Schizosaccharomyces pombe: one gene and its partners. The main gene of each other region encodes a partner of the protein of the gene in region 2 in a complex. Each region holds a gene or a part of one and is shown on either strand. Other genes may lie near its edges. A codon is read from its position in the direction of its gene.

The links.
Region 1: the proteins of lsm6 (region 2) and lsm5 are in contact, whole or in part, in a crystal structure (PDB 3SWN), measured with the Schizosaccharomyces pombe proteins. Residues at the interface, in NP_594380.1 of Schizosaccharomyces pombe: Ser3 (codon at 1,105), Ser4 (codon at 1,102), Pro5 (codon at 1,099), Phe8 (codon at 1,090), Leu9 (codon at 1,087), Lys11 (codon at 1,081), Leu18 (codon at 1,060), Arg20 (codon at 1,054), Met38 (codon at 891), Gly64 (codon at 813), Asn65 (codon at 810), Asn66 (codon at 807), Val67 (codon at 804), Leu68 (codon at 751), Tyr69 (codon at 748), Val70 (codon at 745), Ser71 (codon at 742), Ala72 (codon at 739); in NP_596373.1 of Schizosaccharomyces pombe: Met23 (codon at 2,027), Arg27 (codon at 2,039), Phe29 (codon at 2,045), Val34 (codon at 2,060), Gly35 (codon at 2,063), Phe36 (codon at 2,066), Asp37 (codon at 2,069), Asn41 (codon at 2,081), Val43 (codon at 2,087), Glu49 (codon at 2,105), Glu58 (codon at 2,178), His60 (codon at 2,184), Glu62 (codon at 2,190), Met63 (codon at 2,193), Leu64 (codon at 2,196), Leu65 (codon at 2,199), Asn66 (codon at 2,202), Asn68 (codon at 2,208).
Region 3: the proteins of lsm6 (region 2) and lsm7 are in contact, whole or in part, in a crystal structure (PDB 3SWN), measured with the Schizosaccharomyces pombe proteins. Residues at the interface, in NP_594380.1 of Schizosaccharomyces pombe: Leu21 (codon at 1,051), Tyr27 (codon at 1,033), Cys33 (codon at 906), Asp35 (codon at 900), Tyr37 (codon at 894), Asn39 (codon at 888), Ala41 (codon at 882), Glu47 (codon at 864), Tyr57 (codon at 834), Asp59 (codon at 828), Ala60 (codon at 825), Phe61 (codon at 822), Ile62 (codon at 819), Arg63 (codon at 816), Asn66 (codon at 807); in NP_588340.1 of Schizosaccharomyces pombe: Ser24 (codon at 2,260), Asp27 (codon at 2,269), Leu28 (codon at 2,272), Tyr31 (codon at 2,281), Gln37 (codon at 2,299), Thr39 (codon at 2,305), Thr41 (codon at 2,311), Gln45 (codon at 2,323), Gln55 (codon at 2,353), Leu56 (codon at 2,356), Met57 (codon at 2,359), Gly90 (codon at 2,458), Thr91 (codon at 2,461), Thr92 (codon at 2,464), Leu93 (codon at 2,467), Val94 (codon at 2,470), Leu95 (codon at 2,473), Ile96 (codon at 2,476), Ala97 (codon at 2,479), Pro98 (codon at 2,482).

Annotation. Positions count from the first base shown.
Region 1 is NC_003423.3:3,299,445-3,302,653, forward strand, and holds lsm5 (U6 snRNP-associated protein Lsm5), read left to right. Parts: upstream 1-1,850; 5' UTR 1,851-1,859; coding exon 1,860-1,884; intron 1,885-1,985; coding exon 1,986-2,109; intron 2,110-2,155; coding exon 2,156-2,222; intron 2,223-2,270; coding exon 2,271-2,297; 3' UTR 2,298-2,691; downstream 2,692-3,209. Other genes in the region: RNA polymerase II nuclear import protein Rtp1, read right to left, coding at 1-1,382. UniProt on the Schizosaccharomyces pombe protein: Component of LSm protein complexes, which are involved in RNA processing and may function in a chaperone-like manner. Component of the cytoplasmic LSM1-LSM7 complex which is involved in mRNA degradation by activating the decapping step.
Region 2 is NC_003424.3:3,922,969-3,925,754, forward strand, and holds lsm6 (U6 snRNP-associated protein Lsm6), read right to left. Parts: upstream 1,159-2,786; 5' UTR 1,112-1,158; coding exon 1,027-1,111; intron 918-1,026; coding exon 804-917; intron 754-803; coding exon 725-753; 3' UTR 618-724; downstream 1-617. Other genes in the region: inositol phosphorylceramide mannosyltransferase activity Imt1, read left to right, coding at 1-345; sec67 (translocation subcomplex subunit Sec72), read left to right, coding at 1,785-2,363. UniProt on the Schizosaccharomyces pombe protein: Component of LSm protein complexes, which are involved in RNA processing and may function in a chaperone-like manner. Component of the cytoplasmic LSM1-LSM7 complex which is involved in mRNA degradation by activating the decapping step.
Region 3 is NC_003421.2:1,816,288-1,819,424, forward strand, and holds lsm7 (U6 snRNP-associated protein Lsm7), read left to right. Parts: upstream 1-2,078; 5' UTR 2,079-2,136; coding exon 2,137-2,186; exon of another isoform or gene 2,187-2,240; coding exon 2,241-2,532; 3' UTR 2,533-2,637; downstream 2,638-3,137. Other genes in the region: dsc5 (UBA/UAS domain-containing protein), read left to right, coding at 110-1,285; nucleoporin Nup60, read right to left, coding at 2,830-3,137. UniProt on the Schizosaccharomyces pombe protein: Component of LSm protein complexes, which are involved in RNA processing and may function in a chaperone-like manner. Component of the cytoplasmic LSM1-LSM7 complex which is involved in mRNA degradation by activating the decapping step.

The DNA of each region.
Region 1 (3,209 bases), on a different chromosome or scaffold from region 2:
TTCTCTTCTTCAACTTCTCGGTTAGTAGTAATCTGGGATATTTCTGTAGAGGAATACTTATTTTGACTAGCCACTTCATTGATCAGATTAGTGCAGACAGACAGCATTACATTACTAGGAATTTCATCTGAATCAACATTAGACAGGGCATATTGAACAAGTTCGAGTAATTCCAAACGCTTGTCTGGTGGCTGCTGGACCCATATTTCTAACAAGTTAGGCAGGAACATTGCTAATTGTGATTTTGTCAGTCTCTCGCAAAATATACGAAGATGTTTTGCATTTGTTAAATTCCTTAACAGCGATTTGGTACCACAGACTGATATAATACGAAGCAAGATATCCTGAACTTTAGAACGTAAAGTTGTGTTCTCCTGTAAGTGCAAAAGACTTGGTACACAAGATTCACATATGCGAATTATATCATCGTTTTGAATGTAGACTAATACTTGAAGAACGTCCAATGCATTTTCAAATGGGGATAAATCGATGACTTTCGGTGCTTCGAGTATTTGGAGCTTTTTAAGAAGAAAAGAGGTAACAATATCACAATGTGTATTTGTTACAGCAATTATGAGTTGTGACGCTAATCGAGGTTGAGTGCTGAAAAGGCTCCAAACCTGAGGAAGAATACACGAAAAATATTTCTGTGGTGAGATATCCTTTGGAACAGATGAAATCAGATGAGCGGCCTGTCGTGCGCGTTCGATTGAATTTGGCTGTGCTTGCATATAAACTTTGAGAAATCCTTGCACGCCAGTTTCTCTACAAAGACAGGTAGTTAAATAATGTTTCAATTTATCTTGCAACCAGTTATCTACATTCGGTTGTAATAGCGATAAACAAGAAGAAATCATTTTAGATGGATCAACCATTTGTGGAGACATTATGCTCGTTACTTTTTCTTTCCATGAAGGGTCTAAAAATAAAGGCCTGGGTTCTTCAATGAGAGAACCTTGTTCATGGCAGTTCAACAAATATAAATGAAGCAACAATAAGTCGGCATAGTGAAGGTTAAGTGGACCTTGTAATAAACTTGGAGTTAACAATAAAGGAAGTAAAATATTGTAAATTTGGACCAGATTTTTTTTGGGGGTATAAATAGGTAATGCCTTAATTTTCGCTTGCGATAGCATTTCTTTGGGGAGTTGAGTATAAACACCAAGCAAAAATGTAAGATGAACAAAAAGCTGCAAACATCGTAGAGAGGTAACACTTAAGGGTTGGTCTGTATCCAACTTTGAGATTTCCTCTAGAAGATTGAGGAAGTAATTCAATAAATCACCACTTATATTATCCTTCAATTTTTCAATTACAGGACGAGAATCATTCTTTTGATTTAAAAGCTTCGCAAAATCTAATAACTTCTGATTTGCATCCATGCGGAATATTGCTTGTAAAGTTCACTTGCTAAGTAGTGAACGTTATAAGTAAGTGAAGGCAAAAAACCAACTCTTATACTTTCCGTACTAAGAAATAGCAATAGCAAATATTTAGAATATGAGAACCAGGTACGGAAACCTTAATTATTTAACGAACTTTGTGGCTAAAATATGTGGATAACTAATTCCTGATCGTAGCAATAAATACTTGGGGTAAGTTATAACTAGACAGCTTTAGCTTGGATTCATTCAAAGAAATGGATCGCTATTCGACAACTGTGTAATTTTGACAAACGACAAGACCAAAAAATAAGACCGAATAAGATGTCCACAGTTTTAATGAAACGATAACCTCTTATTTATAAAATCTTCAAGATTCCAATAAATGATATTCCCTTAACACTATGTGTTCAGGTAAAATGATAGCATGGTTCTTGTATAGTAGCAATTTATGTGAACTTGCAATCCACCTCCACCATGTCGATGACAATTTTACCTTTAGGTATGTAGATTTATTAGTACATTCTAAATTAGTTTCATAATAAGAAAAGGGAAAAATTATTGATTTATGCCCTGGGTAAATCTGTTCATGCTAACAAGCAGAATTAATTGATAAATGCATTGGATCAAACTTATGGGTGATCATGAAAAGTGAACGCGAATTTGCGGGGACACTTGTTGGATTCGATGATTATGTGAATATTGTTCTAAAAGATGTTACAGAATAGTATGAAATATAATAACTTTAATTATCTTTGCTAATTTCTATGAAGTGATACTGTTACCGGCGTTACCGAAAAACACTCTGAAATGCTTTTGAACGGAAATGGGATGTGCATGGTATGTCAATGAAAATAATAAAGGAATTTTTGTACACTAACTATCTAGTTGATTCCTGGTGGAAAACCCGAATAAGTTGGTACTTGGCTATTTAACAGTCTTTTGAAGATGAAGGAAGAGTGATTTTTGTTATTATCAAACAAATGGAGATATATTGCACGCCAAATCTAGCTCATACTGTGTGCACTCCATATATGGTAAAATATCTAGACCCAAGTCTCACTTTTTACATTAATTGAACAACAAGCGTTGGTAAAGCCATGTCTTCGGATACGGTTAAATTTGATCGAGTTATTTAAAGAATTTGATTGCAAAAATAAGGTATTTTATAGGACTGGTTGCATGTTTCTGAAATGAGTGATTATTCAAAAATAAAGGCTTAATACTTCCATCCTCCATAATTTTTCCTATTAGTGATTGTATCTCAAATTATACTACCAAAATGAATTGTTATTTCAGATGATGTAAACTGTGTTAAAGTTAATTGTTTGAATGTAATCTGACTGTAGAAATTGGCATAAACGGGATATGCATAGCCTACGATGATAGCAATTTTTCTTCTAATTTGAAAGACAACATACTAAACATTGATTTGAGTAGCCTTTACAGGATCTTACTATTCAAGTTATCTCTTCCAGCCCATCTGGTTGAATCATACTGACTTTTTTTTGTTCATGTTGGCCAAAATGGGGATTTATTATGATTATACACTGGAAAAAGTATGAATATTTGTTGTTTATCATTAATATAAACTAAAGTGACTAACCTTGTTATTGTAAACTCAAAATTTTGAGAATTAGTATCTTCAGCAGTTTTATGAAGGAAACGAAAAAGTAAAATTAAAATGAAAACGAAGTTTAATACTTTGGATTTATATATCTCATCATTTATACATTTGGATTATTAAGAAATTTTTGAATCCTCTCTTCCCTTATCCCTAAATAGTTAGAGAAAAACGACAAAACTCAGCTAAAACCATTAAACTTT
Region 2 (2,786 bases):
TATTTCACTAAATATCCCACGGTGTTTCTCAGTGCAGGACCTTTATTCCTATCTTATCAATTTTGTAAATACTTACTTACGCCGCATGAACCAGTGCGCGTCTTACCTGCTTTACTTTATGGAAACGGACCTAATTCATTTTTTTCACATGTTACTGGTGATAGCTGGCATGGCACTGATGCTAAAGTATTTATTTGGATAGACCGAAATTCAAAATCTGTCTTATTTTTTGCTTTTTTGGCTGCGTTCGCTATCCTTTTCTTATGTCTAAGAGTTGTCTTTAAACGGAGAAGGAAACGTGGAATTGCGGCTTCTCACTCACAAATACAGGAGCTATATCCCTAGTCCCTTCGTTTCTATAGATGGGCTAAATGGGTGATTTGGCTATTGAAGAAATTCAAAGGTAAAAGAAGTGTATATTATAGTTTCATTTGATGACAACTTGAAAAAAAAAAATGATGCCAAAGTCATCGTCTCTGTGTTTGTTTAACGAAAACGGTTTTTTTTAAAGGGCTATAAATTACATTTACTTCTAAATGATACATCAATATCTACAAATATATATCCTTCATTGAACTCTGGCTCTTCTTTTCAACATTAGCATAAGAACTTATTATGTATACACGTGTTTGTATTTTTTAACGATAATTTGTATTTTATGCAAATTACTTTAACCAATCTTGTACCATAATCGTATATCGTATTGAAGGGCTAGAAATCGTCTCTAATCATCTAAAGCAGAAACATATAAGACTGTTGGACGGTAGTTAGGAAATCAAAGCACTTTAATATAAATACCATACCATTGTTTCCACGAATAAATGCATCTCCATAAACATTCGTCTTCTTGCCATTAACGTATTCTTCTGTGCGTTCAAGGGCCAAGTTCATATAACCATCAAGACAACTGAGGATTCCTAAAAAACAGGTTTAGTATTAACAAACCCTAAATAACGGAAAAAAAGTTAAAGCGATAGAAACAAATTGCAAACTTGCATTGTCTCCGACGCAATTCATGTTAAATACCTTTATAGTCGACACCAGAACTTAACCGGATAAGAACTTTTTTGCCGATGACCTTATTCAAAAACTCATTAGGAGAAGAATCCATTATCTTCCAGTTGGTTTAGAGAATTCAGCCTTTGAAGGGTTTTCTGTGAGTCGTAAATTGAAGTAGACACCAACTACATTGGTAACCTCAGTTCAGGGTGCTCTTGCATATAATGAAGAATAGCATTATGTGCAAAAATGTATACCGTGCAAGACTACACTACTTTAATATACACTTCGTTGCGTATCACTATATGTGATATGTTGGAATATCAGTTGAGATCTGGTTATTAATAATTATGGGTAACTATCCGCTAACTAAATAAATTTTATTAAAAACACCCTTTAGAACAATTATAAATAGAGGTACAGCTGAATCTCGTTCCTCAGTTTAGTTAAAGCTATATTAATGATAGGTAACAATAGATCGTACATAAAATATTATATATGTCCTCGGTTGCTACTTGTATTACCTGCTTTTTGCAATATTGCAATATAATAGATCATAAAGCTCATTGCAGTTCTACACATCGTTAAAATTAAATAACAAACTGCGTAGTTAGTATTTATGTGTGTTAAAGTATTGTGACACGTTCTGCTAACACTTTCAAGTTTACTACTTGCATTGAACATTGCTTGTCTTCTCTAAATTATTTGTACATAATAATCCATCCGAGCTTTGTGCTTTACATTAAGAGCAGCTTCACTACTTCTTCTTTTAAAACTTTGCTTCGATGGTTGCTAAACAAGAATCGGTGGTTGCACCTCAAGTTGATGTGTCAAAATGGAGTGGGAAGGAATTGGAGTTGGGCAAAAAGGTTAATGAATACGCCAAGTCATTAGCTACGTTTAAATATCCTTTTTTTATTCCACCTCCCTATCCTCCTGCTAAGCCAAATATGGCCTTGTCTACCCAAGTTAATAAGATGAAGCAAACTGCAAACGAGGCATTTAAACGCAAAAAGTATGAGGAGGCAAAAAAGTTATATGGATTAGCATTACAACTCGCTTTGAATCGCTGTACTTGGGAACCGTCGATTCTTACGCGTGAAGAAGCAAGTGTTATGTTGTGTAATCGGGCGGCTGCTGAGATTGCCCTTTCCCAATTCCCCGAAGCTTTAGCAGATGCAAATGCTGCTTTGAAAATTCGAAATAATTATGGAAAGTGTTATTATAGGAAAGCAAAGGCTTTGGAGGCAATGCATCGCATAGAAGAGGCTAAACAGGTTGTACGAGACGGTTTAATTTTGGCAGAGCCAGTTACGAGAAACGAGTTGGTGGCTTTATGGGCAAGTTATACTGAAAAAGATTAAAACCAACTGTATCATGGTTTCAAATGATCATTGGATTTGCACGCTCCTTTTATTTCCTTTCTTTGTGTTGTTTCATATTACCATAAACACTTACGGCCACATAATTAATCCATTTCAAAATTAATACTAACTTGATATTATTGCCAATTCATTTAATGCTCAGGTGATTGTAGCAATTACTGTATACAAAAGACCATCCCCTAGCACATCATAAATACGGTGGTTTTGAACATGAATCTAAGTTTCGATTGTCATTTGTTACCCTATAGTCAAACAACAATGTTATAACTTTCCAAAGGATTTATTGAGTAAAACGGTAACTTTTTTGCTTGAAAGTTAGTTACCATCTAAGTCACCCTTCTTTGCCTTATAGCAAAAGTATTATACAATGCAAAATTTTATTATTTTCTGTACTTCCACTAT
Region 3 (3,137 bases), on a different chromosome or scaffold from region 2:
TTATTTGCAACTGAACATTCATGGAATCCTCTGGTTGTCGTTTATTTTTCTAATCGAATTTTCGGTGAATGTTGGGACTGAGCCATTTTGCTAACTGTTTTATGATTAGGAAGCGATCGAGAGTTTAACTGGAGAATCGTCAAGAGTCGATAGAAATTCAAAGCTTGGATTAAGTTTCGGCGTCTTTCAATCTGTTTTTTCTTTGCTATTCAGTGGGTTGCACAAACTATGGATGATTTTGTCAAGGGTTCCTCTGATTTCAACATTTATCCCCATTTTTGGTACTACTAAGCGTGTCCTTTCTCCTGCAGACACTGCGAACAAGCTGGTTCAGAATTTAGAAGAGCAATACGGTACTGAGCATATTGATTTTTTTACTGATGGCGGCTACATGGAAGCGTTGACACGTATTAAGCGTAATTATGGAGTCGCATTGCTTTTCTTTACTAGCTCAAAGAATGATGACTCTGAGACGTTTTCCAGGAGTGTTCTTATGAACCAAGAGCTAAAGGAATTTTTAAATCGTCGAAACATTCTTTGCTGGACTGGTGATGTTTGTGAGGATGAGGCTTTCCGAGGTTCTCGTCAATTCCACTGCACTAAATTTCCCTCCGCAGTCCTTGTTATGTATTCACCTCAGCTATCTGAGCTTGTAGTTGCCGCCCAACTCCATGGATGTCTTGATAGTTCCAGCATCATTACCAATCTAACTAATGCTTTGGCTAAACATCTTCCTTCTCTTGAGCGTTTCCGTTCGGAGAGAGAAGCACGAGAAGCTGCTCGCGAGTTACGACGTCAACAAGACAATGCCTATCAAGCGTCCCTTGCCCGCGATCGCGAGCGTCAAGCTTTCGCGAGAGCAGAAGAAGAGCGTCTTGCAAAGGAGAAAGAAGAAAGAGAAATCGTTCAGAAAAAGAAAAAACAATATCGTGCTTGGCTTGCTTCTAATCTTCCACCGGAGCCATCATCTGAAGATGAACCTGCTCGTCTTTCGATCCGTTTTCCCGACGGATCTCGGGCTGTTCGAAGGTTTAAGAAGGATGATACTGTTGAATCCGTTTACAACTATGTGGATTATATGCTTTTTGAAAAAGAGGAGCCTGAAGAATTCGGTCGCGCTACTTCATCTTCTAATCCGGTCACTCCACCAAGTGACTATAAGCATGATTTTCATTTTCAACTATATTCTTCTTTGCCCAGAGCTTTGCTGAAACCATCAGTGGCTATTTCTACTAACAAAGCCATCTTTCCAAATGGCACTGTGGTGGTGGAGCTGGATGATTGAAATTAACAAAATTGTTTGTCTTTTTAAATCATAATGACAATTTACGACTATCGACGTTTCGAATCCGTTTTTAAATACATTTCTAAGATTTGATGTATGATGAATTTATTTTCTCTTTTCTATTTCTACTACTGAATTAATTGTTGTTTATGGCATGAATGTCTACTGGACGCATTGACTTTTTATTTTGAGCAAACTTTCAATGCACCCTTTAATCTGAGTACATAGTCGATTTCCACTAGATTTTCTGTTCTTTGCCAAAAACCTTTTCTATGCATGTCATCTTCATCTCTGTTTTCTACGATTTTCTTTGCAATGGAGGACAAAGGCTAGTAATTTAGGCTTTGTAGCATAAAAGTTTTGCCAGCTTTCGTCTGTGATGAGTGAGGTATGTATTATGAACATAAATTTGTTTAAAATATAAATCTTTCTTTATTGCAATTCGAAAAAGTCTAGTGGCTTTGTTTCTAAACAGCTTAAATTTTACCTTTAAACTTTCATTAATGTTAAATTTTTATATAATTAATATACAAATTAGTGCATTAGATTCACTTTATGTCAAGCATTATGACCCCAAGCATGGAATTTCTCAACGTTTCTAACAAAATTGGAAAAGTAAAGCGGTGAAATTATTTCCTTTCAGACTGAGCAAGTTTATTTTACATTCCTTTCTGTAGCGTGTTTTATATTCCATTTACTGCTATGTCTTAAGTCATTCAAATTGAACCATATAAGGATACGTTCGATCACGTTACAATCATCGTAAAAAGGAGAATCGTCAAGTTGAACCTGTACTTTATTCTTTTCTGGGCAATAGCTGATAATTTACCTGGTTATTCTAGATACAAAGAATGTCCAGTCTTCAAAAACGCCCTGGCCCAGGTAACTCTAGTCAACCGACGTAAGTCTAGCAGGAACGAGCAGCATCATGAGTTTTGCTAACTTTCTTAAATAGTGAAAGACCAAGAAAAGAATCTATCCTTGATCTTTCTAGATATCAAGATCAACGAATTCAAGCCACGTTTACGGGGGGCCGACAAATTACCGGTATTCTAAAAGGATTCGATCAGTTGATGAACCTTGTACTTGACGATGTAGAGGAACAGCTTCGCAATCCTGAGGATGGTAAACTTACTGGAGCTATTAGAAAGTTAGGTCTTGTAGTCGTTCGTGGAACAACTTTAGTTTTGATTGCTCCCATGGATGGTTCTGAGGAGATACCGAATCCATTCGTCCAAGCTGAATAAAAAGCCACAAGCCCTTCATTTGATGTTTGACTATTGTTAATAAAATACTACAAGTTAATTATTATACCGCATGTGCATGTTTTGCTTTGAAGGTTCAAAGACCCAATTCGGAAAAGTGTAAAAGCAATATGTGTTTAAAAGAATAAATTCGATTATTAAGATGATTTTCTCTACGCATATGTTTAAATTATTTAATCCATGTTTATTCCCAGTTAGCTTGTTATCACATTGCTATATAATTTATCTAGTCTAAATAGATATATGCCATTGAATAAAAGTATATTAATGCCAAAAAGTTTAGTTCTTTTCTTCCTTCAAAACTGAAAATGAGAATTTAGGTAATTCCTGGGTGCTTTCCATTGTAGAGAGATTCTCCCCATTCTCTTTTGGCAAAACCGTGAACGAAAACTTGGGAAAAGGTTCCTCTTCTAGGGAACCTTGTTTGTCAGTTTTTTCGAGCGTCATAGTGGCATCTTGCTTATGTTCATTCGTGCCCTCAGCAGAGGGTTTCTCGACTTCAACTAGCGAAGTCGATTCCGATACTGAGATAGGGCTTTTCTCAGCTTGCTCAAAACTCCGTTGATCAATAGCAACGTTCGTCATCT